Tamandua tetradactyla: one gene and its partners. The protein of the gene in region 2 purifies or fractionates together with the protein of the main gene of each other region. This does not show direct contact. Links are inferred from orthologs where the notes say so. Each region holds a gene or a part of one and is shown on either strand. Other genes may lie near its edges.

What was found.
Region 1: the proteins of NCBP1 (region 2) and ALYREF purify together in Homo sapiens (affinity purification with western blotting; 6 studies listed by BioGRID and IntAct, with this or other methods). This does not show direct contact. The link is inferred for Tamandua tetradactyla from reciprocal best matches to the Homo sapiens genes NCBP1 and ALYREF.
Region 3: the proteins of NCBP1 (region 2) and PABPN1 purify together in Homo sapiens (co-immunoprecipitation; 3 studies listed by BioGRID and IntAct, with this or other methods). This does not show direct contact. The link is inferred for Tamandua tetradactyla from reciprocal best matches to the Homo sapiens genes NCBP1 and PABPN1.
Region 4: the proteins of NCBP1 (region 2) and LIN28A purify together in Homo sapiens (affinity purification with mass spectrometry; 3 studies listed by BioGRID and IntAct, with this or other methods). This does not show direct contact. The link is inferred for Tamandua tetradactyla from reciprocal best matches to the Homo sapiens genes NCBP1 and LIN28A.

The regions. Positions count from the first base shown.
Region 1 is NC_135332.1:74,075,167-74,082,719, reverse strand, and holds the start of ALYREF (THO complex subunit 4), read left to right. Parts: upstream 1-4,546; 5' UTR 4,547-4,645; coding exon 4,646-4,882; intron 4,883-5,380; coding exon 5,381-5,512; intron 5,513-6,935; coding exon 6,936-7,083; intron 7,084-7,553. Other genes in the region: ANAPC11 (anaphase-promoting complex subunit 11), read right to left, coding at 772-917, 3,484-3,592. UniProt on the Homo sapiens protein: Functions as an mRNA export adapter; component of the transcription/export (TREX) complex which is thought to couple mRNA transcription, processing and nuclear export, and specifically associates with spliced mRNA and not with unspliced pre-mRNA.
Region 2 is NC_135328.1:14,734,387-14,741,480, reverse strand, and holds the start of NCBP1 (nuclear cap-binding protein subunit 1), read right to left. Parts: upstream 3,011-7,094; 5' UTR 2,587-3,010; coding exon 2,553-2,586; intron 1-2,552. UniProt on the Homo sapiens protein: Component of the cap-binding complex (CBC), which binds cotranscriptionally to the 5'-cap of pre-mRNAs and is involved in various processes such as pre-mRNA splicing, translation regulation, nonsense-mediated mRNA decay, RNA-mediated gene silencing (RNAi) by microRNAs (miRNAs) and mRNA export.
Region 3 is NC_135340.1:31,562,672-31,570,432, reverse strand, and holds the start of PABPN1 (polyadenylate-binding protein 2), read left to right. Parts: upstream 1-4,760; 5' UTR 4,761-4,973; coding exon 4,974-5,324; intron 5,325-5,435; exon of another isoform or gene 5,436-5,541; intron 5,542-5,687; coding exon 5,688-5,802; intron 5,803-6,492; coding exon 6,493-6,560; intron 6,561-6,852; coding exon 6,853-6,959; intron 6,960-7,163; coding exon 7,164-7,251; intron 7,252-7,339; coding exon 7,340-7,491; intron 7,492-7,761.
Region 4 is NC_135328.1:199,796,796-199,804,706, forward strand, and holds the start of LIN28A (protein lin-28 homolog A), read right to left. Parts: upstream 3,006-7,911; 5' UTR 2,874-3,005; coding exon 2,843-2,873; intron 2,380-2,842; coding exon 2,195-2,379; intron 1-2,194. UniProt on the Homo sapiens protein: RNA-binding protein that inhibits processing of pre-let-7 miRNAs and regulates translation of mRNAs that control developmental timing, pluripotency and metabolism.

The DNA of each region.
Region 1 (7,553 bases), on a different chromosome or scaffold from region 2:
CCTGAGGACATCAGCCTTCGCGCCGACTGGGGTGTCCCTTGCCCCCTCTTCACCCTCCCAAGGAGTCTGGAGTGGAGGGGTCTTCCCTCAGTGCTTTCTGTAAAGTCCCCTTGGGGCAGTCCCAAAGGCCTGGGCCTCCAAGTTTCTGGGCTCATGTGGGCAAGTGAGGCAGCTGGTCCCCAGGGGCCTCTTGCACCCAGGGTGCGCTGACAAAGGCATAGCAAGTACAAGTAGGGCACATATAAGCAGAGATCGGGGGCAGGGCCCTAAGGGGATGGGCGCCAGGGACATAGAGCTATACTCCCTGGCCCCAGAGGGCCATGCTCCCTGGGCCTCCTACTCCTGTAACATGCAGCCACTGCCTGACCCCTCCTGAGCCCCTGCACCCAGAAACCTCTAGCCCTGCTCCTCTCTCCAATGTGGTGACTCACTATGTATATTCATGAGGTTTCATGTCAACACAGAGGCCACAGCCACTCTGAGAAGGCAGGGATCCGGGGCCTCCAGCAAGGCTCAGGAGTTTAATGAGTTTTATTTATTGGATAAGTGTCAACACTGTTATGAAAAAAACAACTGCAGTTCCAGTCCTCATTTCAACCCTGACACAGCCCAAGGGAATTGTCCCCAGTGGAGACTGTTGCCATCCAGCCTCACAGTAAGGAGAATCTCAGAATTCCATCACAGAGCTCAGGGGCAGTCCCCGTGCAAGGCTGAGGGGGTAGTCCAGGCACAGGGCTGGGGGAGTCCTGGCGTAAGGCTGGTAGCTGGCACTCACTCCTTGAACTTCCACTCCTGGCGGCACATAGGGCAGTGCTGCTGCACCTGCTGGGCGTTGAGCCACTTGAGGATGCAGTGCATGTGGAAGCAGTGCGAGCACTGGCCCCACACCAGTGGACAGTCGTCACCGGGCACCTTACCTGTGGAGAGCACAGCATCAGGGAACCTGGCCACAGGGCATCCTCCCTACCTAGCCACATCAGGGCCAGGCAGGTCACAGGTGCACGACAAGCAGGTGTCAGGTACACCCAGGGTTGCCAGAGCAAACTGGGCTTAGAGAAGACAGAGATCAGGAGTGTTCTCCACCAAGGTCTGAAACTAACGAGAGGTGCAAGAGACGAGCCCCTATCTCCAGGAAAGGGCCACTCAGCGGTGGTAGGAGAGAGCACTCCAGCCTGGCCTGCCACTACTGCAGCCCCTGGAGGAGGTGAGTGTTCTCTGACTCCCAGACCTGCGGCACATGTGATGTCACAGGAGGCCATGCCAATGCATGAAGACAGCAGGTGGGCGCAGCTGAGCAGTGAACTGTGCTGGGCCAGGTAGGGAAGGAGGGGCTTTGGAGCTGAAAGATCCGCTCCCTAGGCAGCAGGGATCCAAGGCACCAGAAGGGGCTGGGGTGAACATGGCCCTACCCTCCTTCTCTTTTCCGAGTCTCCGGGAGGCCCCCTGAAAGGCTTGGGGTGAATGCTGTGGTGCTCGTCCCACACGCTGACCCATCACTCTCTCCCTCCCTGGCAAGATTACAGGGGGCAGGGGACCCTGTACCAGGATCTCACATTTCCTGGCCCCAGGGGGCCTTTCAACCTTCCCAGAAAAGAAGACTTGATGTGGCCTCTTTCCAGTTAGTTTTCCCTGGGACAGAGGGAGCTGCTACCTGGGGAGGAGGTAGGGCCACTCTGTCTACCTATGGGGGGCGGTTCATCTACATGGAAGAGCCGCTTCATCTGAGTAACACAGCCACTTGCCTCGGATACTTGGTGAATAACTGAACACAAGGATGACTCACACAGCACTAGTTTAGCTTGGGCGTCAAAGGAGGTCTTTTATAAACCGGAACACCTCTGGGCAGGACTGTGTACTCCCAAGGCCCTCTGCGGTGGGGGCAAGTCTCCTACCCCTTAGTCACTCTGGGTTTATAACAGGAGCTCGATGCTGGCAAGAGGAATTGCTGCCACTTTTCACATACAGGAGTCCCCTTAGACTTGTCATGGCACAAATTGAGACCCTGTGTCCATCATCCTCCATAGCCAATGGGCCCCATTTGCAAACTACTGGGCCCACGCAAAGGTAGAGCCACTGTAGTTCTCAGAACAGCGCCCTGTCTGGATGTGCAGGGCACAGGAGCAGCCAGCTGGGGTTCAGGATGGGCCTGCAGGCTCTATACAGGTGACTGCCACCACTGTGTTTGGGGCACAGGCTGCCCAGGCCTGCTGGAGCTTGCACCAGTACCAGCACAATCCACACCCTCGGGCACCACCAGCACATTTATGAAAGCTAAGCAGCCTACTGCCTTGGAAGTTCTAAGCTCTTGCCTCTTAAACTTCCAGAATCTTTGCTGTACCCTCTGAAGGGCAATTTAAGAAAGTTTAAATATAGCTAGACCACTTTCAGTTTAGTTGTTAGACGTTTGCTGTGATGTAGACTCAATCATCTCTTGATTGATGTAATCATTTGATGTAAATAAGATGTAGTGATAAGATCTCCCTTCAGCTAGGGCAGATAGGATCAAAGATAGGATAAAGTGATATTTGTACTAAATTCATTCATCTGACTGTCATTTTAAGAAGTAAAGCTCTATGATGTTTCTGGGCTCTTGATCGGCCCCAGAACAGGTTTGGTCACTGGTGGGGCAGTGAGGAGGGACTGCCAGCCCTATACACTCCTTTTTCCTTTCAGGGTCCTTGTCCTCCCTGGCCAAAGCCCTGAGCCTTGTTTCTGCTTGCTGTTCCTTTTGATCTGACTAGCATGTAAATTTGCTGGTGTGAAAATCTGCTCTTGCCCTAAACCTAATCAAATATTTTCTCTTTACAGAATTTAATGGAACAAACCAAAAGACATTACAAAGAAAAATCCAATAAAGTAGATTCTGCAAGCAACATGCCCTGTTTTTAAGTTTAAATGAATTGAAGAATGGTGTGGGGTTGAGAAAGGATTGCTCTACATTTATACTTGAAAATACTTCAGCAAAGATGTTAAAAGACACTTCATCTTATGAGTGATTTTTCTATAAACTTACAACTTCTCTAATAAAAAAAGCCAACAAACCACATACCTACAAATGGCAAGTTTTATAATATAAGTTAAAACTCAATAAATCTGACTTTAAAATAGAAATAAAGGCTATTCATTGTTAATTCCCTGGCGTGGGTGGGAGGGGGAGGGGATAAGGGGGTGTTCCTTATGCTATTTTACCTTTTTTGCTAGTTTGTTTGAAATTTTCAAACTAAAAAGTCTTAGATCTGTTTTTGTCTTGTGTGTCTCATTGCTGAGTTTGATTACAATAAAATGCTGCACTGGCTTTTCTTATAAAACTTTTTTGCCTCGATCTTTATAAAAACATGGGCCCAAACTGCTTGCCTTTTTTTCCTGTCACCTTTTCTTCAGGAAAACAAAATTAAAACCCAGGGATTTTACCCAGGTACTTTCAGGAAACGACAATGTCAGGCAAGTAGGCTCAAACAGCACTGCCAAGAGGGAGGCACTCACAGTCGGGACAGCAGCCGTTGAAGGCCATCCGGCAGATGCCGCAGTTCTCGTCATTGGCCACCCAGAGCCAAGTGGCCACGCCGTTCCAGCACTTGATCTTCACCTTCATGGCTGTGATGGGAAGAGGGTTACCTTGGTGAATCCGGTCTACAGAGCTAGAACACTAAGGCTCCCAGGGCGTGCTTCTCCCAGCCAAGAGGGCCCGCGCTGCAGGGGAGCAGCCACCGGCCAAGGCCAAGGGGAGCGGAGTGCCTGGCTTTGCACCCGGGGTTTCTTAAAGGTTCCTTTAGCCGTGTCTTTAGGGGCCCAGAGGGAAAGAAAGCCCTGAAAAGGGGCCTCAGCTCGCGCTGGCAAGGAGGGCATCAGACTTGGGACCACGGCTTTGGAGAGTTTGGCTTTGCCTCGCGTTTACGGTAACTACGGAGACCTGGACATTCACGAAAGGGCTGCTGCTTTCCTTAACGCCCTGTAAACAGGTCACACGACACTTCCAAAAAGGACACAACTAACAAACAAATGACCGTGGCTAACTTGGGGGATGGAGCCCCAAACCGCGCACGCTGTGAGATTTTTAACTCTCGAAAAGGCACAAACAGACGCATGAGTCTGTACCCCCGACCCCCATACCTGCCCGGGGCAACCGCTAGGCCCTGAAAGACGAATCGCTGGAGACGGTCGGCCGGGCGGTCCCGTGAGAAACGGCGGGGAAACAAGCCGCGGTGCCCGCCGGGCATCCGGCTCAGGACGCGACCGAGAGCGCGGAGAGCTCGGGGGCGTCCCAGGGGCCCCGCCCCCAGCCCGAGGGACGGGCACGTCAGGCCCCGCCCCCAACGGCCCCCGCCCAACCCAGGACGCCCTCGCCCCTTCCCTAACCTAATCCTACGCAACGCGGCCCCGCCCGTCGGCCGTTGTGGCGCCAGCGTCCGCGCGGGAAGGTATAAAAACGACAGCAGCCGCAGCCCAGCACCAGTCGGGCTGAGGTCGCCGAGCTGTGCGCCTCGCTGCGCACGCGCCTCCCCGCCTCGCGCGACTAGCCGCTCGCCGTCAGCCAATCGACAGCGGCTCCGGGGCCGCGACTCCGGAAGTCCCCGCGCGGCGAAGGAAGTGACGCCCCGGCGTGCTGACGCGCGCGCTCGAACCGAGGCCCGATTCCGCGCCCGCCATGGCCGACAAAATGGATATGTCTCTGGACGACATCATTAAGCTGAACCGGAGCCAGCGAGGCGGCCGCGGCGGGGGCCGGGGCCGCGGTCGGGCCGGCTCCCAGGGCGGCCGCGGCGGCGGAGCGCAGGCCGCCGCGCGCGTGAATCGAGGCGGCGGGTCCATCCGGAACCGGCCGGCCATCGCCCGCGGCGCAGCTGGCGGCGGCGGCAGGAACCGGCCGGCGCCCTACAGCAGGGTGAGTGGACGCGAAGGCCACTGGGGTTGCGGGGCGCGGAGTGCGCTGAGGCCCGGCCCGGCAGGCCGCGGGAGCGCCGAGTGGAGAGGGCTGGCCCCGAGGCCTGGCAGCTGGTCCCGAAGCCGGCGGGTGTGGTAGACGCCGGGGAGGTCGCGCGGCCTGGGGTTGGCCCCGGGAGGCTCAGACCTTCTCAGCCTCTTTGTCTCATCCGGGCGCTGCAACCTCATGGCGGCTGGGAGCGGAGGGAACGCTGGGCGCGGCCGCACCGGCGGCGGGAAGTTAGTTGAAGGGAACCTGAGAAGTTGCGCGGAAGCGGCGGGACCGTCGGGGTCTCGGGCCGGGGCAGGGAGGGAAGGGCCAGAGGCCCCTTCTCGGCGATTTCTCCCAGGGCCCGGTTGAGGAAGGGAGCAGGATCTTGGGATGAGCCCTGAGGGCAAGGAAAAGCCCTAGAGTGAGACTCACCGGTCTTTTTCTGTTCTATGGGGTTTTCTCTTTCAGCCAAAACAGCTTCCCGATAAGTGGCAACACGATCTGTTCGACAGCGGCTTTGGAGGAGGTGCCGGCGTGGAGACCGGTGGGAAACTGCTGGTGTCAAATCTGGATTTTGGAGTATCAGACGCTGATATTCAGGTAAGAAACGGAAGCGTCTCCGTGAGTAGTTCACCTTGCACAGAACTAATCGTGTTTGTCATGGGCCCTGAATCCTGTTCCCGCCTTAGGAAAGGAAGCCCTCCCAGCTGCCCCAGAAATAGCCACTGCTTCCGTGTAAGGGGCTGCAGGAGAGACCCTGCCCAGCAGTGGTCAGGAAAAGTTGAAAGTTGAATAAGTGAATCAGTGTTTGTTAGAAGATAAGACCTTAGTGTATTAGTTTTTGCAAAAACGTGTTTTTGGTGTCTGAAAATCCCCTGCAGAGCTTTCTACTTCTGGCTGCTTGCTTTCCTTGTTTTGTTGCTGTTTTAATGATCTATTGGGAGAAGAATCCACACACACACACACACACACACACACACGTTTTAACTAACAAAGTACAGAAGTAGGGTCTTAGTGGTTTTTCAGCTCTGTTGGCCTTGAGGCTTTCTATCAAGTATGACTTGTGGCCCAGTGGTACCACCCCCACCCCGTCCCCTGCCGCTCCCCCCAGGTTTTGTCAGTGGTTTGGTTCTAAGCTCATCTTTGGTTGAAGACTGGTTTTTGTTTTTGTTTTTTGTTTTTTATTGAACCTAAAGGAATTTAAACTTGTTTTTCTGGTAAAGAAACAGTTTCTTGGGGATCAGTCTTGGAGATGGCTGGGTCAGGGTGCTGGGCCTTCCTGGGTTGCATCTCCCAGAGCATGGCCATTGGGCTTTGCCGTGGGAGGACGGAGCAAGGCCGGTGAGCACTCACAGTGTCTCAACACTTTTTTTAAGGTGGTTTCTGGCAGCCACTGGAAACCGCTTTTGGTGACTCCACTTCCCGCTGTGTGCCTGCGGCCGGAGTAGCCCCACACTCTGGGTTCCCTCTCCAACTCCCAGCCTGCCTGAGGTCAGGGCAGTTTCCATGGCAGCGCTTGACTTCAGACTTTGCGGCAGGCTTGAGTAGGAGGAGAGGGAAAGGTGAGCCAGAATCTGCCTTCGGGGGAGGGACTGGGGTTAGGGCTCCCAAATCAAGGGGCCCTTCAAGCTGTCCTGGAATGTTGGGCAGCTTCCCTTGCTGTGTGATCTAGGCCTTCGCTGTTTCTTGGAACAGTTCTTGGGAGAGTTGTAAATTTTCTTTTGTCAAAAAGGAGAGCGGCTTAATTTTGTGCCCTTCACTTGTGGGTTCCTGCAACTTCCTTTCCCTGCATCGAGTTATAGATTTCAAGTCCCTCAGTTGGCAGGAGCCCTCAGACCCAGGTGCTTTGGAAGTTGCTGTCCTACCCACCCCATCCCTTCCCCCAGTTCCCACTGCCCTGCCCCTGTGTACATGGCTGCCTCCCAGGGAAACACCCCCAAAGCAGATTTCACTTCCAGGGACCATCCCTGGGACACTAAAGGGAAACAGCTCTGCTTACGAGTCTGCTCTTTCCAATTCCCAGGAACTCTTTGCTGAATTTGGAACTCTGAAAAAGGCTGCTGTGCACTACGACCGATCTGGCCGGAGTTTAGGAACAGCAGATGTGCACTTTGAACGGAAGGCTGACGCTCTGAAGGCTATGAAACAATACAACGGTGTCCCTTTAGATGGTGAGTTTGGGTTTGGACCAGTATGGCTGCAGGGTTGTACACGAAGGGTAGAGTTTGGGGGTGGCACTTGTCCACGCAGGGATATGGCTGAGCTCTGTGGCCAGGGACGCTTTGCATTTGCCCCTTTGTCTCTTCCATTCTACTGCCTTGCATGCTGTCCCTTACATCTGGACATCCGGAAGTTCTGGGAAGCCTTCTCAGAACTGCCATAGTAAACTTCTGAATGCAGGTTGTAGTCTAGAGACAGAGGTACCATTTTCCTCGTCAGAACCCTCTTCCTCCCACCTAGACTGGGCTGAGAGCAAAGAGGAGGCCTTGGGGGGGTTGTTTTTATTGCCTTTTTGTTCCCCTACCAGTATTTCCAGGTCATTCCCTTGTTGGAAGTGTTTGACACAGCACAAGAACCCTTTGCAGTGCTTGCATGAAGACCAGGTAGGGCACCCTCAGATTAGGCATGACCTCTATCTGGC
Region 2 (7,094 bases):
TGGCCTTGAGCCTTTACACTTAGGTTCCCTCTGCCTGAACCACTGCTCTTCCCCAGAATCCATGTAATTTTCCTGCCTACCTCCTGCAGGCTCACAATCAGATGCTAGTATCAGATGGCCTTCCCTGAACAGCTACATAAAATATTAACTCCTCTCCTTCGGTCCTGTCTCTAGCCCATTTACTGATTTTATTTTTCTCCACAGCACTGACCACCATACAATACACTGCATTTTACTTGATTGATTGCTTTCTGCCTATCTCTCTATACTAGAATGGAGACTCCATCTTTAAATTGTCTCTTGCAGTACTGCCAATTATTTGACAATTATTCTGGACAGTGGCTGACACTATTACATATTGGTCAAGTAAATGACTGCATCCAAGTATACGGAAAGTCAGGGCAATTGCTGACATAAGCGAGAACAATAATGCAGAAGGGCTTGAAGTATCCATTTAATCCTAACGGTATTAATTCTGATTTTAAAATAGCCTCCTATAATATTTAAGCTTTCATGTTATTTTAAAAAATAAGTAGAAGTTTAACTAAAAGGGAAACATTCTGATTCAGATCCATTTTAGGGTAAACTCCAACTGACCACTACCTATAGTGCGGCAATTTACAAAAGTTCTAGATTTCATATATTTCAAAGAACTATAAACTGTCCCTCTATTACTAAAGCATCCACCATTGTGGACTTCGCTTCATCAATTTCTTATTCTACTTCTCTTTGTCTTTACTTGCGTACTGATACTCCAGCAGCAAGACCCACATGGACAATGATGAGCTACATCATTGCTGCCATGCTGCCAGCTGACGTTCAAAATCCCACAGAAAGTTATGAAAGCTTTCCAATAATCAGAAACAAGTTATTTTTCTAAATATTTGCATTCCATTCCTCTGGGTTGCCTTCTGGGACCATCCCCCCTCCCTTTCTGGATGCCCTAGAAAGGAGAGAGAGAAGAAAGAGTGGAGAAAAGAAAGCACAAGAAGAGCAAGGAACATGAGAAGAACAATAGACTCAAGTTCTCTAAATCCCAAGAGATGACTTCAAACATATTAGTTTTTGATTAGTCAAATCCATAATACACAAAGACTGTATTTTCCATGCTCTGTACGTACACGTTAGCAGTCACTTGTTAAAGTATACCACACAGCAGTGCCTGTGTAGTGAAGAGTTCTGGGCTTGTCTTCTCTGGTGTCTGGGCACTGATTACTTTGTCTCCATGTTAGTTCATTACACTCAGTCTCTGCACCCTGTGGTGTCAGATGGATTGTGAATAACCTCTCAAGCCATGCCCTAGCAGAAATCTGGTGTTTCACTGCTAAAACTAGGTACAAGTGAGTCTGTCCTCATCCACAAATGCTCAACATTCAAGGAGAGAAAACAATAATGGAGAATTATCATTAAAATTAAGATTATCAAAAAGTTAAAATTTTTGTTTTGCATTTTTCTTACATTGTTGGCACGTGCCACTATTTATGACCTCTTCAGCATTAAACAGACTATAAAATAAACATCACTGTCAAGCATTACTCAACCCTCACAAAACCCAAAACAGATTATCATTATTTTTACTTTATAGATTACAGTTTAAAGAAATTAGATAACCTGGATAAGACCACAAAATAAATAATGGGGTCTAGCTTTGAAACCATCAGCTCTCTGATTCCAAAGTTTGGTCTCTTACCCATTACTCTACAATTTAATAAATGATTCACTAAAATATTAAAACAGATTTAAGCACAGGTGTTTTTTTGACTGGATCTGTGTTCATGACTGATTTTTGTAATGCTTATGTGAAATGTGAGTATCTTTTTCTACTTTTTTTACTAGAAAAAGTCTTAGTTCTTAGTATCTCTGTGAGCACAGCACCCAATGGAAATGGAACCCCTGATCTAAATTTCAAAAAGATCTCCAGTTAGTTTTCCAGCACTCTTAATTACATGATGGAAAACGCCTAAGGCCAGTTCACAACCTAATAAAACAGCATGGGTCTGTTTACTAGTGACCTCTTGAGCGGAGAGAAGACACAAGATTCCTTTTCTGAAAGTTTGAACAAAGTTGAATCAATGGATGATGGTAGGTACAGGAGCAGAGTAGGCTGCAATTCATCAGCTCTTTGAGTCAGTGCTTTGTTTCTTTTCTTCAATTAAGTTTCCCTTAGAGGCCTTTTCAGGTTACTTTGAAGGCCAACTTAGAAGGTTAAAATGAGACACTGTGTCCCTGCCACTGCCCATCTAAGAGGTAAGGACACAGACACGGGTCTACTTCCTGCTCGGCAGAGCCAGGACCAACCCCTGAAGCGTCTTTAGAGACCAGGAGGTCTCTAATCACGGGCTCTAATCACGGGCTAAAGGCGCGAGGGCTGCGGGCAGCAGTCGCTTTCTGGAACCCACCTGGCCACACCCCCGCTCTGCCAGCCTCCTAGGCTCCGCGGCTGTACGAACTCTACCAGGGGAGAAGGGCTCTCCATTCCTTCCCTCGAGACCCGAAGGCCAAGGAAGCCGAAGCTAGGGCGCGGCAGCCAGGGCCGGGTCGAGGGCACTCACCGTCGTTTTCGTCGCTGTGCCGCCGTCGCGACATGCCGCACGTCGGTGCGCTTCCGAGGCGAGACGCCGGGCAGGAGGTGCGGTAGGAACCGTCGGACACTCAGCCGGCGCGACCACAGCAGGCAGGCGCGCGGATCCGCCGGCGCGCAGGCGCACTCGCTGGCGACGGCTCCCGGAAGCGCAAGGATGAAGGTCGGCCGGGTGGGCTAGCAGACTCGGCTGCAGGAGGGCCGCAGGTGTCTGCACGGCACGCAACAGCCCCCTCTTCTGCTCGACTTTCCTTCGCCTCGCGGCTGCTTTCTTCTCCTGCCTTTCGCTCTCTGTCCTTCCGGGGCCACGCAGAAAGCGCAGCTGCTTCATTCAGGTACAGCTCGCCGGCTGCGAGCGGCCTGGGGCGGGGCAGGAATGGACGGGAGGCGGAGGTCTGGGCGGGACGCTCTTTCCCCAGCCCTGGATCCTCTCGGTGGTTTTCCCGGCGGCCCTTGCGCTAACGGCCACTGAGATTTCCGTGGCCAAGTTACGTCGTGAGCGTTTTTCCCTACGTCAACTCGCGGCTGGGGCTGTAAGGCTTGAAGGCCGTGAGCAGCGACAATTGCTAAGCGGAGACTGTTCAGTGAGCCCATACCTCGGCAAGGCTCCGGACTGGCGGGTATGTGCTCGACGTACTACCGCTTCCCGGTTTTCGCCTACGCGGGAAGCTGTGCGGAGAGGTTGGGTCAGGCTACGCGGGGTTGCCCGGGCGGAAGGCGGGCCCCACGTGCCGCCCACTGTGATAGGGGAGGCCCGCCTGCTCGGAGCACCTCGGTTGTTGTACGTTTCGCCTCCGCGCGTTAGAAGGAGCTTGTTGGCCGTTTTAGTAATTCGTTTTCAGTACTTGTGGGTTGTCAAGAGAAACTAAGTCACCATTATATTCAGAACTTGCAGATTTTTTTTAAAGAAACTGCTGGAGCAGAGAGATCTCAAACTGGAGGAGTGAGTCTCCAATGAGAGCAGGCCACAGCGACTTATAGAAACGATTAGGGAATTTCAAATGGAAAGTTAAGATTGGTTGACGGCTAAGTTTTTCATTACATAGGGTCTTACAAAGCAGAGAACAGATAGCCATTGGTTAGTATAATGTATTTGTCCATTTTTAATAGGCTGTCCTTACTGGTCCGAGATCAGCTTATCATCAGGTGTCGCAAAAATTGCAACTTTATCGGGAGTGCTATTTCCTCAGAGACCTGTACTTGAATCCGTGTCATTTTTCGGCAAGGTGATCGCTACCGGTAACTCCCAAGGCAGTCGGCTTTTAAAAATCTCATTTCGCAGCATATACTTATATATGAACACCTCCGGCCTTGGTGAGCCCCCACCTGTTTATCTGTCTCTCCTTGGTCATTTGAAATTTCACTCTCCCTACCCATTTCAGTAAATGGCACCGTCCATCTTGTTGCCCAATCCAAACATCTAGGTAGGAGTCATTCTTGAGCCCTCTTTCCTTCACTTCCTGCATAGCAATTATCCATAAACCCCACTGGTTCTACTTCCAAAGGAGATCCAGAATTGGTGCACTCCTCACTACTGCTGGCTTTTTAATCCGAGCAAGTGTCCTCTCTCACCCTAATAAGTGTAGTAACTTGATTGGCCTACTTGATTCCTTGCTTTCTTAAAATTCTACACAGCAGCCAGAAGGTTCTTAAGATGAGAATCAGACGGTGGTGATCGTTTGTCTAAAACCCACAATGACTTCTGTGGAGGACTCTGTACTGTGGCCTTCCTGTTCTACCTGCTCATCACTGCTCCATCCACTTTGTCTTCTTGTTCCTCCAGTAAATCAAGCTTGTTCTCTCTGTAGGAGTTTATATTCCCTCTTTCCCTTGCCTGAATGTTTCTTTTATTTTTATTGTAAACAACAAGCAAACATACAAACATTCTTGACATGGTTACAATCATTGGCTCACAGTATCATCTTTCGTGTGTTCATCACCATGATCATTTTTTTGAACATTTGCATCTCTCCAGCAAAAGAAATAAAAAAGAAAAACTCATACATGCTGTACCCCTTCCCCTCCCTCTCACTGACCACTAGTATTTCATTCTATTCAATTTATTTTAACTTTTGTTCCCCCTATTATTTGTATATATCTTACCATATTTTTTACTCATCTGTCCATACTGTAGATACAAGGAGCATACCTGAATGTTTCTGATCCCAGATCTTTGCTTGGCTGGCTCCTTGTCATTTAGGGCTCAGCTGAAACATCAGGTCCTTAGGTCTTCCCTAGATACCTAATTAAATTAGCTGGCCCTGCCACTAGGTCATTCATAGCTATTTTATTTCACTCAGACATTCATTCAACAAATACTGTATTTATTATTTAGCACTAGTTATGTGCTAGGTACTGTTCTAATTCTTGAGGATGCAGCAGTGAACAAAGGAAAAATCTGATATTGTCATGCCCTGTTCAGGAATGGGCAAAGGGATCAGTGCAATCAGAGAAGAGAGCAAAGAGAAGTATGGATCAGAAAGGTAGTGAGAGCATGGTAAGGACTTTGGATTTTTATCTGAGAAAGTTGAGAAGTCTTTGGGGGGGTGATCTGACATTATTAAAAAATAAGTCTGTGTATTATTAAAAAATATACTTTGGCTCCTACATAAGAAAGGCAGTCAGGCTATTGCAGTGATTCAGGCAAGACCTGGTGGTGGCTTGAGCTGGGGTGGAAGTAAAGATGGTGAGAAGTTGTTTGACCTGCTTGTATTTCCAGAGCAGAGCTCAGGAAATATGCCAAAGTTGTTGCCTGATGTATTAGTTTGTTAAAGCTGCCAGAATGGATTATACCAGAAATGCAATGGCTTTTAAAAAGGGAAGTTATTATGTGTTTACAGTTCTGAGACTGTGAAAAAGTCCAAATTAAAGCGCCAACAAGAGGTTACTTTTATTCAAGAAATGTTGATGCCATCTGGAACACCTCTGTCAGCTGGGAAGGCACGTGGCTGGCATCTGCTGGTCCCTTGCTCCTGGGCTCTATTGCTTTCAGCCTGTTCCTTTGGGAGTTCCTCACTTGGTTTTTGTGGGCCTTCACTTAGCTCCTCTGGGACACAATTCTGGGTTCTGGCTTGCTTAGCATCTCATGGGAAGGCACATGGTGATGTCTGCTGGGCCCTGTATCTGCAAATGTCTGGGTCTTTTGGTTCTGTCAGCTCTGAAGCAACTATTCTCCAAGCATCTACATCAGTTCTATGCTTTCTCAAAAATGTTTCCTCTTTTAAAGGACTCCAGTGAACTAATCAAGACCCACCCAAAATGGGTGGAGCCATATTTCCATCTAACCTAAAGGCCACACCCACAGTTGGCCACCCCACACCTCCATGGAGATAATCTAATCAAAAGAGTTTCTGCCCTACAATATTGAATCTGTGTTAAAGGACATTGCTTTTCTGGGGTATACAACACTTTTAAGAAAGCACACCTAAGGAACAGGAAGAATGATTTATATATTTAGTTTTACTGAGGCAAGGAATACCAGAGAAGAATAGGTTTGGTTCCAGGGAGAGTACCTTAATAAGAGTTTGGTTCTGAACAGTTGTGTCTGAAAAGGCTATTAGACATCCAGTTGAAGCTATCCAGGAGAAGAGTCAGCTACATGAATTTGGAATTCAAGGGAGAAGTCCTAGTTGGAGATAGAAATTTAGAGTAATTTACTGTATAGTGTTCTAAACAATTTTTGGTTCCTTTATAGTTGTTTCCCCTTTTTTCTTTCTTTATTGAAAATTTTAGGTATTTACAAAAGTAGAAAACTTACACAATGAACCTTTATGTGCTCATTATCAAGCTTCAATAATCATCAGCTCATTAAGGCCAAGCCGGTTTCACCTATGTTCCCACCCAGCCCCCGACCTGCATCATTTTAAAGCAAATAGAGTTTAAAGCTTTCAGACTAGATTAATTCACCCAGGGAGTGAGTGTGAATAGAGCAGTTCAGCACGTAGAGGTTGGGACCATGAGGAGGATCCAGCAGAAGCATGTGGTTTTTACATGTTTGCTTATTTGTTTCCTTATTTGATGTTTCTCTCTCTTTACTAGAATAGAAGTTCCAGGGGCACAGGGGCATGGACTGTTCCAGTCAGAGCTGCCTCTTCAGCACTGTTCTTATGTCAGGCACACAATCGTGCCTCTGCAAGTAATAGTTAAAAGTATAGCTATAATTAGACTAAAGCAAGAGCTGAACGAGGATTTAGAGCAAGAGGGGGCAGGGGCAGCCCTTAAGGAGTGGTGGGAAAGGCATGTGCAAAGCATGGCTTCTGTGTGGGACTAGGTGAGGTCCAGGTGGCCAAAGCAGAGTGCCTGGCCTGAGATGACTAAGAGATGGGGCACTGGCTGATGGAGACGAATGTGTGAAAGAAGTGACATGTGAGCTAAATCTTGTTAAAGGTGTTTAGCATTTGGATAGGGAGAGAGGAGAGAAGTGAGTGTAAAGGAACAAAAAGGTGTAAGGAATCAAAGCTGGAGTGAACATGGCATCTGAGTGGGATGGTGGAGAGGCCAGGTTAAGCAGCAG
Region 3 (7,761 bases), on a different chromosome or scaffold from region 2:
GTATATAAAAAAAAATCTATGGTGTATGCCAGAATATCATTAGTTATTATCTCTGGGTCGTGGATTTTATGGGTGATTTTATTTTGTTCTTTTTGTTATTAGTTTTTTTTTTATATCAAACATGTATTTCTGAAACTGTATTTTTTTAAAAGTTTGTCAGGTACAAAGTTTTTAAAAGTTAACCAATCAGAATGGAAATTAAACAGCCCAAGAGAGGATCTTTCTCATTTAAATGACTACCTACCCTTCATGCAAGAGCAGATTTAGGAATTAAGGTAGGCAGGGCCAAACTTTGCATTAGAAGGTAATTAATATGCTCCAAAATAGAGATAAGTAAATGCTAAAGACTCCAAGGTTCTGTAACAGTACTGCCCAATAGAAATATAATGCAAGCCATATATGCAGTTTTACATTTTCTAGTAGCCACATTTAAAAAAAACACAAAAATCTGATAAAACTAATTTTAATAATATATTTAACAATAAAAATATGATCATCTCAGTGCATCATTAATATTAAACAATTATTAATGAGCTACTTTGCATTCTTTTTTTCATACTAAGTCTTTGAAATCTAGTGTGTATTTTAGGCTTTGGTACACTTCAATTTAGGCTAGCCATATTTTAAGTGCTCGATATTGGCCATCATTTTAAACAATGTGGTTCTATATCATAGAGAATTACTGTAGCCTATACAATTTGTAAAGCAGGATTTAAAAACAAGGATGAAATACCAAGGAGTCAAATATTTATGTTGTCTAGTGAGAAAACTGTTCCCTTCTGGATAGAACTCAATATACTCTGACCTGCTTTTTTTTTTTTTTTTTTTTTCCATATGGGCAAGCACCAGGCATCGAACCCAGGTCTCCAGTTTGGCAGATGAGAACTCTGCCACTGAGCCACTGTGGCCCACCCATGACCCAGTTTTTTATTGTGAAATATACTATACATAGAGAAAAAAAGGAATAATTTTCAAAGTACTTTTTAACAAGTAATTACAGAACAGATTACAAAGTTTGGTATGGATTACCATTCCACATTTTTGGGTTTTTCCTTCTAGCTGCTCCAAAATACTGCAAGCTAAAAGAAATACCATTATAATGATTCAGCAGTCATTCTCATTTGTTAAATACTGTCTTCCTGTTATAACTCCTCCTTCCACTTGATCCTCTTCCCAATCTATAGGGGTCTTTGGGCTATGCCCATTCTAACTTTTTCATGTTGAAAAGGGGTGTCAACACTATAGAATAAGGGGATGGAATTAGTTGGTATTCTTGGAGAGGCTGGCCCCTCTGGGTTTCAGGACTTATCTGGCCTAGGAACCCTCTGGAGGTTACAGGTTTCAGGAATGTAAACTTAGTACATGAAACTTTTGTAGAGTCTCAGATAGAGCCCTAGGTGTTCTTTAGAGTTGCAGGAATGATGTTTGAGCGGGTATGGCAAGCCATTGTAATTAGCAATACTTAGCTAAAGCTTGCATAAGAGTAGCCTCCAGAATAGCCACTGACTCTATCTGAGCTCTCTTAGCCACTGATACCTTATTTCGTTACATTTATTTCTTTCCCCCTTTTAGTCCAGAAGGCATTGTTCATCCCTCCACGCCAGGGCCAGGGTCAACTCTGGGAATCATGTCCCCCGTTTTCTGAACCAATTTTACAGTTTAAATTCTCAACTCCACAGAATACGTTAATGGAAGATTAATACATTACCACCACCACCACCCCACCCCTTTTCTAAGAAAGCAATGGAGTTTCAGGTTTTCCAAAACTTCATAGCCATCTATGTATAAGTTATTACTTAAGGAGAACTATACTCATAATGGGTAAATCTCACACCCCTGTTATATATAACTTAAAAAAAAATTCATCCCCAGATGAAAACTTATCTCTGATGTTTTCTATTTATTAACAGGCAGGATGTTACATAAATCCTTCATTACTGAGGATTATTTATTCAATTAGAATTTATTAGTAATGGGAATACAAATATAATTAAGATGGTGTTCCTGCCTTCTAAACAGTCTGATAGGGAAGAATCTTTCTTTACAAGTCACCACTCAAATTTTTAAATGTGAATATTTGTTTGTAAAAGTCATCATGCTTACTTGGAAGTTGGAGTGACTTTTATACTTTAAATAAAAATAATGACTGTGGAAAGATCATCGAACACAGAAAACTGTAAAGAAAATCAGTCATAATCCTACTACCCAGAGAAAACCACTATTAACATTTTGGCATATTTCTTTCCTGTCTTTTATCTGCGCTTCTATTTTATGATCATACTGTACATACATTTTGTATATGGCAATTCTGCTTACCAATATATTGCAAGAATTTTTCCTTGTCATTAAAAACGTTTTGAAGGCATATCTAATATAAAATTATATTGAATGTGTACAGTAGTTTTCATGTAAGTCCACACTTGGACGTTTACATTTTTTCACTGTGATGAACATTTTCACTCACAAATGTTACTTCTTTAGAACAGATTATAAGAATTACTGGGTTAAGAGTCTCAACACTTAAAAAACTGGGTACATATTGCTAATGTACCTTTTTATTTCTATGGAGTTTTTCAGAAAATCATACTTTATATACAATTTTACATTTTACCACTTTGGCCTAACAAAAATATTTTTTGTATGTTATCACACACTGTGTGTAAATCTTTTAATAGGTAGATAATAATCTTTGATTAGATATAATCATGGTTTACTTAAACGTTGTCTGTTACTGGAATTTAGTCGTTTTCCAATTTTCAGTATTACATATAATGTGATTTTTGCATATTAAAGTAAACCATAGAGTAGTTATGATTTGAGCTTAGAAAGTTGGCCTTGAATTCCTTGCTCACTCCTAAATAGCTTCATGATTGGACAAGATACTTTTCTTTAAAGCTTCTTCTCTAAAAAAAAAAAAGAGTATAGTTTTGGAAGCATCTACTTGACAGGGTTGTTTTAAAATTCAATGAGATAATATATTAAGAAGCCTAATGTGATGCCTGTTAACAAAATGAAATGCTGAACAAAAACAGGATTCAAAAGCATTTAAAAAAAAAAAAAAACCACCACACTTCCTATGGTTGGCTTGATTACTTAAGTCAGGCACCAATAAACGCCCAGGTCTTGATTAGATTTAAGTCAGGCACCAATAAGCGCCCAGGTCTTGATTAGATTAAGTTCAATATAAAAGACCTTTCTTTCAGCAAAATTGCAGTGGTTTAGAGCCTGTCTTCGGTGCTCAACTTCAGTTCTCTTAGATCGCCGATGGATGACGAAGTAATTTTAAGCACTTTAAGCAACTGTGATTATGCCTCAAGTCCTCCAGATCCTGAGGTAAGGATTCGCGAGAAATAGCGGGGGTGAACGGAAGGGTGGGGTGTACTGAGAAGCTTTTAGATTTCGTTCGCTAATAGGGCTATCCTCCTCTCCCAGTCCTCCCTACCGACCACCACCCCGCACATCTCATGGGGCTTGTTTAATGTTTTGGGGGGTTCATGTGAATCCAACTCTCAAACGGTGGCTTGGTCCTACTATCAAAACATCTCTTTCAAACTTAGCACTGAGCACCTTACTCACTGCTGAAATGTAGCCACCCTGCCTTCAGGGCTGGTGTCCTGGTGTCGTTGGTCACTGGGGGCGCAGCAGTAAGGTGATACTTTGCCTGGAGAACTTCTGGAGTCTGAAGGAGGGCTTGGGGTCAGGAAAGCGCTGAAGATTCAGGGTCGCACCCAGACTCCAAATAATGCATCCTTCGGTCGATAAATATTTATTGGACTTCATATTGTGCTATTTATGGTAATAGGTGGTGGACAAACGAATATAAATAGGATCTAGCCCCTCATCTCCAGGAGCTCACAACATAAAAAACGCAAAGGGACCTAACACGTAGTGGAGGTAGGCCCCCTTGCCGTGGGAGAAGAGAAGCAGGGGAAGGCGTCCTAGTAGAGGTGATGCTAGGATTTGCTGTGGGTTTGGAGACAAGACTGTACAGAGGAACACACCTGGGTGCAGGTACACCCACGGAACAAAGAGTGAAATAACCGGGTTCTGAGGGTCTCCAAGTTCGCGGTAAGGAGTAGAGACTACCTGGCCAGCTCGGTCTGAAAGTGGTACGGGTTATAGGTATGACACCGGAAGCCGAAAGACCCGTTTGCGGCTGACACAAACCGTCCAGGCAAGAGAAGAAACAAGATAAAACCAGGGTCGTGAGTTTAGAAAGGAGGCCTAACCAGGAGGCAGAACTCTCAGGTCTTGTGACAGGTGAATGGTAATGCCAATAATCTGAATGGGAAAAGTCAGCTCTCTCCTGGACTGTTCCATTCAGAAACCGCCACTTTCAGCAATCTCCCAACTACTGGTACTTCCTGGATAGGACACTAATTTCCAGAAGCCGCCGCTGTGTTTCCGGCCTCTGCCTTCCAACAGCTCGTTTGGCAACCAATAGAATAAAGATGGCGTCTCCCTAAGAGACTAGGTCATGTGACATCGCTTTTCCCTGGCTTAAGGCTGGCAGTCCGTTTGGGGTCAAGGTTCACCTAGTAGATAGCTGGTGTCAGCCCTTCGAATTTCACAAGCCAATGACATCTGAAACCAGGACACCGCGGGGGGCGATGGGCAGATTGGTTCGTTCCACCTCTCCTAGCTAGGGGCCAATCACAGAGCGCCGTACACTCCGCGGGCCCTCCGGTGGGCGGGGGAGAAGCAGGAAGGTCGTCACAGCGTAGTGGTATTGTTACCTAAGGACTTGAGAGGAGGTGGGATGTATGTTGATTGACAGACGGATTTCTCCTACCGGAATTAGAGAATTTGGCGCAGTGCTCCGCCTTAGAGGTGGGGTCTTATTTGATTGCCAAGTAATATTCCCCAATGGACTCCTAGCTCGTGGTGACGGGCAGGCCGCTTAACTAATGAATTCTCGGCGTGGCCGGCGCAGCTCTCCAATCGCCGGGCGGCGGGCCCCAGTCTGAGCGGCGATGGCGGCGGCGGCGGCGGCGGCAGCAGCAGCGGTGGCTGCGGGCGGTCGGGGCTCCGGGCCGGGGCGGCGGCGCCATCTTGTGCCCGGGGCCGGTGGGGAGGCCGGGGAGGGGGCCCCGGGGGGCGCAGGGGACTACGGGAACGGCCTGGAGTCGGAGGAACTGGAGCCTGGGGAGCTGCTGCTGGAGCCCGAGCCAGAGCCCGAGCCCGAAGAGGAGCCGCCCCGGCCCCGCGCCCCCCCGGGAGCTCCGGGCCCTGGGCCTGGCTCGGGAGCCCCCGGCAGCCAGGAGGAGGAGGAGGAGCCGGGACTGGTCGAGGGTGACCCGGGGGACGGCGCCATTGAGGACCCGGTGAGGGAAGGAGGGCGAGAGACCGAACCGGCGACCGGCCGGCCGGGTCATGGGAGGCCCAGAGCTCGGGCGAGTGGGAGGCAGGCGGGGGATGGGGGTGGGGGTGGGCGGGGAATAATGTAGCTGGGGCCGGACCGGGGAAGGCTCCTTCACCACCGGAGGGGCCCGTCGGGGTTGATTTCGGGCGTCATGGGTGCTTAGTGTTGTTCTAGAGAAGGTAGCTTGCTTATCTTTTCATCACGACCCCGCGTGGGAAGAGGGAAATGGCGAGCAGGACTGGGGCTGAGCGCTTACCGAGAAAAGGGTTTAGCATCCTGCATTGGTTCCTCTTAAGCTGTTCATACCCCTCCCTACTTATTGTAGGAGCTGGAAGCGATCAAAGCTCGTGTCAGAGAGATGGAGGAAGAAGCTGAGAAGCTGAAGGAGCTGCAGAACGAGGTAGAGAAGCAGATGAATATGAGTCCACCTCCAGGCAATGGTGAGTAACTGGTGGCTGCACGCGGAGCCCGCGTCCTCGGGTTGAAAAGATGTGTGGAGTACGTATGGCATTAGATGCTGCGGGTCTTGGAGCTCGTTTCTGAGCAGTTGATGGGCAGAGGCCGCGGTTATTGCTAATTTATGTGTTCCTCTGACCTTTGTGAAACAGATCCTATGTTTGGTTGATGGTAGTCTTGTGCTTTTCTTTGTCTTTGTTATAAATATGTTGCCCTTTGTTCTTAGTCTATCTTTATTCTTTGTGAAGGTTGCCAGCTGGCATTTGACCTTCAAGTCAAGGGGTTCTTCCTTCACTTGGGGACCCTTTAGTTAGTAGACGTTCTAAACGATTTCTGCTTAGCTGCAGGGGTCTTCCCCTTTGTAATCTAGAAATGTAGACTCTCATCTTAATTTCTTTAACTCCTTTTCAATAGGGACTTGATGTATAGGGGTGGTGGTGGTGGGGAATTCTTGTTCTCTCTGATTTTTAATAATGTATTTATTATTAGTCACATTTTTAGTGGCCACCCACTATGTTTTTGGCCCTGTTCTGGGTAATGGGTACAGCAGGAAACAGAACAAACTCAAATCTTTGCCTTCACTGAGCTTATATTCTAATAGTGATAGAGGGTCAGAGGATAATAGATTGGTAGAGTAGAAAAGAAGTGTGTTTTCTAATTGTCTTTTTTCAAAGCTGGCCCAGTGATCATGTCCATTGAAGAGAAGATGGAGGCTGATGCTCGTTCCATTTATGTTGGCAATGTATGTAGTAGGGCCCTGATTGTAGTTGGGGGAAGCTCTAATTTGTGGGAGTTACTTAATGGAAGTCTTTTGAAAAGAACATCTCCAGGATAGGAGTGGGAGGAAGTAAAAATTAATGATCAGCAAGGCCTCTGGGGTTGAGAGAAAAGGGGATTAGTTCCTTAGAGAAACAGATTTGATGTGCCTCGCTGTAAATGTATGGCCCCAACCAGAAGGTGAGGCAGTATGCTGAGATGGGAGTTGGAGTTTGCCCAGTTCCTGTGAAACATTGTCTCTCTCCTGTCCCCCTCAGGTGGACTATGGTGCGACAGCAGAAGAGCTGGAAGCACACTTTCATGGCTGTGGTTCAGTCAACCGTGTTACTATACTTTGTGACAAATTCAGTGGCCATCCCAAAGGGTAAGTAGGGAAGTAAATTGAGATCATTTTAATCATAGTTTAAAAATAAATATTGAACAATAAGTCACTTGCTGTTAAAACCTAGGGGTCTTTGTCCTAAATGTAAACACATTGAGTCCAAATAAAGTACATCAGCAAGTTGAATTTGACGTACAAGTTGCTGTTTGCAGCTTCAGAGAGCTAAAGTGACAATAACCTTTTCAGGTTTGCGTATATAGAGTTCTCAGACAAAGAGTCAGTGAGGACCTCCCTGGCCTTAGATGAGTCCCTTTTTAGAGGAAGACAAATCAAGGTAAGCACCATGCATAATGCTGTTCAGGTTGCGGAAACTTGGCACGTTGTCTGACCTGGGCTTTTTGTGGTACATCCCACAACGACAGGTGATCCCCAAACGAACCAACAGACCAGGCATCAGCACAACAGACCGGGGTTTCCCCAGAGCCCGCTACCGTGCCCGGACCACCAACTACAACAGTTCCCGTTCTCGGTTCTACAGTGGTTTCAACAGCAGGCCCCGGGGTCGTGTCTACAGGTCAGGATAGATGGGCTGCTCCTCTCTCCCCGCCTCCCATGAGCCCTGTATGCTTCCGTCTCTCATGATAGGAGGAGCTTCCCTCCCTTCCCCTCCCGTTGGTCTCCAGGGCCTTGGTCTCCTGCCTATGCAGAGTGAGGAAGGTAGTTGAAGGGAAGGCCAGTCTCGTCTTTTCTGGAGCAGGAATTGTGGTATTAAGGGCTGGATCTCTCCACTCTGTTGCGAGAGATGCTTTCTCCCCCTAGACTTTTCTGGTTTTTTTGAAAGTGG
Region 4 (7,911 bases), about 190 Mb from region 2:
AAGTACAGGGACTGGAATCACTAGGGCTGATTCCACTGAGGTGCGGTTTTAGGACCTACTCCAGCCCCAGCAGCATGTGTCATAAAGGCAGTGCTGCCAGATAAGGCTCAGAGCAGTTCCGCATATTATTGTCTTCTCTGACTGCAGTTGGGAGGTGAGGGTGTGCGGGTTAGGGAGAAAAGTACCTGATCCCAACTGTACCCTCTCCTTTTCAGACAAACTGTTGGGATCTACTCTTACTCCTTTTTTAAAGGCAAAAACGGATCCTGGACTGTCCAAAATATCTATTAGCCAATCTGAAACAGCCTGAAGGTCCCTGCTTCCCTCCACAAATGATGCCATCTGAGAAGTTTCCGATTATTCTATCCTAAGGTTAAGTCTATGGAGGCAGATCCCCACCTGCCCAGGAAAACCTTCCTCGGGATTTTTATATCACTAAGGAACCCCAAAACACAAGGGCACACCTTTCCTTCAACCCCGCCCTATTTAGGAGACTAGAAAATGTTGGGTCTGACTCTTATTCCAGCCTCCCAAAATTGGGGAAGCTGTCCAGTCAGTCTCTAGACCAGGAGAGATTTTAATCTCTGTGATCAAAGGAGAGAGTGGGGGAGGCTGGACACCCCGCTGAGGAGGGCCATTCAAAGCTGGTTCCTGTAATAAAGTGATTTAATGGATCTAAAGAGGCCAATTCCCTTCTTTCTCCCACAATTACTTCCTGTGGGTTATCATTCACATATGTAAATGAGGGAGGGGGGCAAAGCCACCAGCTTCAAGCTAGATGTCTGAAGTGGGGTGGGGGGGAAGGCAAGCATCCTGCAGTAGGCCATATTGGCAGATGGCCCACAGTCCCAATGTCAACCGATGGGTCCCCAATTCCCTACATCCTCCTCCCCTGGTACCCCATTCATCCTCAACTTCCTTGCTGCGGGACAAGCTTGAGGACTTCCCTGTCTCCAACTACCAGTCCACCCTGCATCGCCCTTCCCTGCCCTTCCCCCTCCAGGATACCCTCCCTCAGGCCCCAACCCTTAATCCCCACATCCTCCTTTCCCCTCCCCCACAGCTCCTCGGGCCAGCCTCCCTGCAGTAACCCCTCTCTGCCCGGCCTGTGTCAACCTTCAGGGCCTGGGATTAGAAATCTTCCAGGTCCATTCCCACACCTCCCAGAGTGGAAGAGACTCAGGCAACCACTTCCTTTCCATGGTTATTATGGGTGGCTAGTGTCCCAGGACCACCGGAAATGCTGCGATATCCTGGAAGGGGTGAGAGGAAAGGAGTCCAGGAAGGAGGAGGGGGACCCTGAAGCCTCTGGCTCCTTGTTGGAAGCCAGGAATTTTAGGACAGCAATCAGCGGCTGTCTAGGGCCATAAACACCAAGCAGAGACTAGGTCCCGAGGCCAGCCTCCCTCCAACCTCTGCCCTGAGACACTGAATTCCACCCCGACCGCGTCCCATTCTACTGCGTTAACTGAGCACTTGGGGTTGCAACCCAGCTCTCAGCCTGGGCCAAGAATCCAGGTCTTCTTAGGTTTTCCTTCCTGGTAGGAACTCTACAGGAAAGCTGCCAGTCCCTGAAGAGTGTGAGTGAAACCCGCCTTATGACCTTGCAAGCTCCTAAGTGGATCCTTCAGTGATCTGCCAAGCCCACCCTGACCCAGGGCTTGAGTTCTGAGTGAACACCTATGGATGGGGTGCATCAAACAGGGACCTGCCTTCTCAACCCCAGCCAGCTGGGTATGGGAATAGGTTTCCTCCTCTCCCTCTGGCCCTCCCAGTTCCATTCAGTCGTTACTGAAAGGCTCTGGGCGCCGAGTTCCTGGTTTCCGCCCAGCATGTGCTTGCTTCCCTGGCGAGTCCCCTCGCCCTCCCCCCGCCAGCAAGCACAATACAACCTTACTTTCTGCCACATGGGGTCACTTCCCTGCCCCCTTCCCAGGGGAAAGAGGTAACAGACACGTGGTGAGCTGGAGGGGTTCCCGGAAGGACGCGAGGGGAGCTCATACTTGCCGCTGCTCCCCACCCGGCCCCGGTGGCGTTATCAGGGACTCAGAAGTGGGGTGCCACGGCAAAGATGAGGGTCCGCAACGAAGAAACTTGGGTCTCCCTCAATCCAAGTGCGGAGTTCGCCCATCCACCCAGAAATATAGGACCCCCACTTCAGCGCCCCCGGCGAAGTTACCAGACTGAGTCTCACCTGATGCACAAAGACGTCCACTGGGGGGTCGAGCGCGACCCCGGCGCGGGCGGTCATCGACAGGAAACCGAACCCCATGCGCACGTTGAACCACTTACAGATGCCGGCCCCCTGCAGCAGCTGCGGCTCCTCCGCCTCCCCGGCCGCGTTCTCCGGGGCCTCCTCGGCCGCCTTGGTGCAGCCACCTGGAGATGGGGAAGGAGACCGGCCCTCAGTTGGGGAGCTCGGAATCGGAGGGCGCCCACAGAGACCCGGCAGGGAGACCCAAATGCCCAACCTACGGGTGGACATCAGGAGCCTGCAGCTACCAAGCTACCAAGACCTGTCCCGGCCGCCTCCAAGCGCTCCCCAAACCTATACCGAGACCCGTGGTGCCCCGAAAGTTTTGCTCCTCTTCTCACAACACGTTGCCCTTGGACAGACGGCTGGACAGTCCCCTCCTCTCTTCCTCCCACGCCCGCACAGCACTGGCGAGCAAGCCGCTGGGACACCAGGGTCCTAGCTCTATTCATGGCCCTTGAAGCAGAAGGCCGCGCGGACTTGGGAGTCCTTCGGGCAGCCTGGAGGGACACTTCCCCATCTTCCTTCTAGGTGGCTCCTGGGCACCCCCGCAGCCTAAGCTGTTCCCGCTAAGTCCCAAGCTCGAACCTGCAAACTGCTGGTTGGACACGGAGCCCATGGTCGTCGCCTGAGCCCGCGGCCCCGGGCCCCTGGTCGGGCGGCTGCTGGCCCCAGAGAAGTCCGGAGGCAAAGGGGTGGTTCGGAGAAGAGGCAGCTACATCTTCCCCGGCACAATAGCGGTGGGAGGGCCCACGGCTTTTCAAAGGCTCCCAAATTCTAAAAGACAATGACCCAACCCCCCGCGGGCAACCCCTTCCCCTCCCCTCCTCTTCTTTCCCCTCCCTTTCCCTCTGGCTCCGAGCAGCTCCGTCCCTCCCCCCACCGCTCTGGTCTCTGACATCTCTGGGGTGTCCCTGTTCAGAACCTAGAGGTTTGACACCCCCCTTCCCATACACATATCTGGAAATGGGGGCCGTCTTGCCCAAGAAGTCTTGGGTACCCCTCAATTTGTAGTTGTGCACTTTAAAGCCTCATTGGGGGTCCCCAAAGCAGCATACAGGTGGGGGATCTGGGGGGGGTACTTTTAAAACCACGTGACTGCTCCCACACACACTCACATACCACCCCCACCCCCTACGCAGATAATTATACATTCCAGAGAGTTGGGGGAGGGAGGTGTGAGCCTGGCAGCACTGGCCAATCAGAAACACAAACCACCTGTCAAGGGAGAAATGGATGAGCCCTCCCCCTCCCCCAGCCACTGAATGCCCCTCCCCCTCTCTTCTCCCCTCAGGCCTCTGAGCTGACCCGGCTGCTTGGCGATGACCCGCTCTCATCCCCCACCCCCGTGTGCTTAGATAGACCTGGAGTTTGGGACACTGGGAAGCCTGGGGAGGAGGAGCAGGGGGAGATTGGAGACTGGGCAGAGTTGATCTTCAGTCCTTACTCTCAAAATCTCTCTGTCTCTGACAGAAATTGAATGTGTCTCTCTCCCTGAGTTTTCCACTCAAGACTTTTTCTCAATCTCTCCCTAATAGAAGGGAGAAGGTGCTCCTAATTGATTCAACATAAAGAATCATCCCTTTTTCCCTTCCTTCCAAAATGTCTAAAGTTGGCCCCAAATAGCACTCTATGCAAGAGCAGGAGGACCCCAAAGAGGCTTGAAGTGTGCTTCTCTCTCCTCTAACTGCCTTTTCATCCTGTCCTCCCCTCCCCCAGCCCCAGCCTTTTCTGGGAGAGGGACTGGGTGGGTAGGTGGATGGAAGCACTTCCTCCTGTACTCTCACTCTTAGGTTCCCATACCCTCCCGTTTCAGAGTCACCATACTCAAGTGTATTCCCATCTCCGTAGTGGAATTGATGGAGAAACTGGAGTAGTAGTCTCCTAATCTGAAGAGGTAACCTCCCCTTCTAGGAAATAAAAGAGGGTCTGCTGGGGGGTGGCTAATGCCCCAGTCAGAGGTGGACAATGGCCCGGGGCTCAGAGTACAGCCCTGGCCCTGCCCCTTCACTTCCGGTGCTCAGTTCAAACTGGACAATGCCAGCTCTGGCCACTTCCCCTCCCCCACTGCTACAACCATTTAAAGGGACAGAGCCTGCATTCGGGGACATCCGTTTGCTCTGAATTCAATCTTCTCCAACAAATGTGGAGAATCTCTCATGTTTCTCACCTGCACCCTGTGCGTGTGTGTGTGTGTGTGTGTGTGTGTGTGAGCGCGAGTGAACGCATGTATTCTGGAGAAGGGAGATAGGTGGGAGTGGGGTGGATGGAGAGGAGGGCAAGGGGGTGTGGAGAGAGAATTTCTCTGATTCCTACAAGGAGCCTTTTTCAAGAGACTAAACCTTTAGTGTAAAGATGGGGGATGGGACTTTGGGAGAGAAAAAGGACAATTGTACACCTTAGCTACGCTGCCTAAAAATATATATATATCATTAGCAAATATTATCAACGGCCCATTCCCAAATAAGGACCCTAATTTAAATTTCCCAAGAGTTCTCCAAACGTCGGCCAAAAACCATGTTTATTTACATAACCCTCATCCGAGTCCTAGTGACACCCTTAAATATATTCACTCCCTGTACCTCTGTTCCTAAGATTCTATAGCAGGTGACTGAGGTCTGGCTAAAGAAAAGAGCGAACAATATTTCAGCACTCTTGCTTCGTTTGGTTCATTCTGAAGTGATATTCGGTTTCCCGGGCAAACGCAACCAGCTTCTCTGTCCAGGGTCCTGAGGGTTCCTGGAGCTCTGTCCGCGGTGCTGAATCCAGCCACCGCTCCCTTGGCCCCAGCTCACAGTTTTGAGAATGGCTTTTTGAGTTCCCATCTCCAAGTCTTTCCCAGAAAACCTGCTCCTCTTCAACTCCTCAGTGACACTGACATACTTGGATGAATGAAGAGGTTTTACTGAATGGCAAAGAGGACATTCCAAGCAGTACATGATTCTGTGAGAGCAGTTCGGATATCTTAAGCTCCTCTTAAGAAAAACGGGTAGAACTATTCATGTGGCTATAGGGGATGAGGAAAGAGGAGGTCATATTTTCTGAGTCAGAGAATGGCAGAGTAGAATAGAGATTAATCTTTTTCAAAGTTTTTCCTTAATTATTAACATTTTTCATAGAGCCACAGACATTGGAGTCAGATTGTCCTTATATGAATATTGGCTTCACTATTTAATCATGTGACTGGGGTAACTTCCTTAACCTCTCTATGCTTCAGTTTCCTCCTCTGTCCAACAGGAATAATCATAATATCTGGCTCTTGGAGATACTGTGAGAATGAACTTAGATCATATATGTGAAGGTGTTAGAATAGTGCCAGACACATAATAAGTTTTTAATAATAAAAATTATTACTATTATTATAGCTATTGTGCACATGCTTGTCTCTATGGTGTGGTACGCACTGACCTGTGTACTCCAGAGGACTGGGATGATTCATATCTTACTCATTTCAGCATCTTCTCCACATCTTTCCCGGTACCTAGCAGTGCCTGGCCCATGGAAGGCACCAAGAACAGTTTCCTGAATTGGTATTAATTGAAATAGTGAATGTTATTACAACAGTCATAATGCTTATTCTCCTAGGAAGTTCCTCTCAAGTCTATTCCTAGAAGAACTCTGGAGGGGGTTAGAGCCTCAGAAAGTTATATAAGTGGATGCAGAGAATGGCTTGGAATGGGACATTTGGCCCCTACATAGTTGATTCCTCATTCTCTGTGTGGAAGGTGAGGGCTCCTATCAAATCTTCTCCCTTTCTTGGTTTCTTCTCTCAGTAAAAACTTATTTGGTAGTGAGAACTTCTGGGCCAAGATGGCAGCTTAACAATATGCGCATTTTAGTTTGTCCTCCAGAACAACTATTAAATAACCAGAAACAGCACAGAACAGCTCCTGGGGCCATGTCAGTGACCGGACACACAGCGTACCCCAGTGTGGACCAGCTGGACTGGCTGCAAGCCCCCCCAGAACTGTGAGTTCCTCAAGCTGCAGCAGCCGGCGCCCCACCCCCACAGGCTGCTTCCCAGAGGGAAAGAAAAGAGACTTTACCAGCAGCAGTGGCTGAGCCCAATCAAACACCAATTGTGGCACTAATTAACAAATTCTGACTACTAAAAATAGGTCCCCAACTCAGGTGAACCTGGTCAAAGTGGAGGTCACTCATTTTAGCCCCGGCACCAAGGGGGCAGGGCTGACAGAAAAAGGAAAAAAAAAAGAAAGAAACAGAGGTTTTTGTGGCTGTGTTTCTACAAAGGCTTGACCGCCTTTGGATACAGTGCCAGTGCTCCTCAGGCTGCAACTGCCCCAGGCATAGGCAGAAGTGAGCTCTTTTGGGGGGCTTCTGGAGTTTGTGCCTTCCCCAGGGGAGGGGTGAAGCCCCACCCAGGTGGAATCCCTCCATCAAGGAATTCATACACCAGGGCTTGGTAATTTGAAGCCATTAAAACCAGCCTACAACCTCTCCTCTGTCTCCACCACACCCCCAGCAGGGAGAGTTTGTCAAAGTTAAAGGTACCACATCATGTTATGCTGGTGGGACCTGCAGGAACACAAGCACCACATACTGGGCAGGATAAGAAAAACAGAGCCCAGAGACTTCACAGGAAAGTCTTTCAACCTGCTGGGTCTTACCCTCAGGGAAAACCAATGCAGGTGACTCTTTTCTCCTGATAGGAGGCCAGTTTGGTCTGGGAAAATCTGGCTGGGGTCTATAATACCTATGTAGACCCTCCTAAGTGTGGCGGGAAAAAGGCACCATACAAGCAAGGCAAGAAACAAGAAAACAAGAACTGAAAAATTCTCCTCTGCTAAACAAAACTTAAGCTAGAAGTCCAGATAAAGCTGAACTGAATGTCAAAGAACAGACAGACAACAAATTCATCTAGCAAGAAACCCTAGGTAAAAGAAGTAAAGCAATCTCCAGAATAAACTAATTAAGGTAATTAAATGCCTAGAAGGCAGAAAAAAATAACGAATCACACTCGGAGAATTGAAGACATGGCCCAGTCAAAGGAACAAACCAACAATTCAAATGAGATACAGGAGTTGAAACAATTAATTCAGAATGTTCGAACAGACATGGAAAACCTCATCAAAAATCAAATCAATGAATTGAGGGAGGATATAAAGAAGGCAAGGAATGAACAAAAAGAAGAAATCTAAAGTCTGAAAAAACAAATCACAGACCTTATGGGAATGGAAGACACAGTAGAAGAGATGAAAAAAACAATGGAAACTTACAATGGTAGATTTCAAGAGACAGAACATAGGATTAGTGAACTGGAGGCTGGAACATCTGAAATCCGGCAAGAAAAAGAAAATATAGGGAAAAAATGGAAAAATATGAGGAGGGACTCAGGGAATTGAAAGACAATATGAAGCACATGAATATATGTGTTGTGGGTGTCCCAGAAGGAGAAGAGAAGAGAAAAAGAGGAGAAAAACTAATGGAGGAAATTATCACTGAAAATTTCCCAACTCTTATGAAAGACTTAAAATTACAGATCCAAGAAGTGCAGCGTACCCCAAAGAGAATAGATCCAAATAGACGTACTCCAAGACATTAACTAATCAGAATGTCAGAGGTCAAAGAGAAAGAGAGAATCTTGAAAGCAGCAAGAGAAAAGCAATCCATCACGTACAAGGGAAGCCCAATAAGAC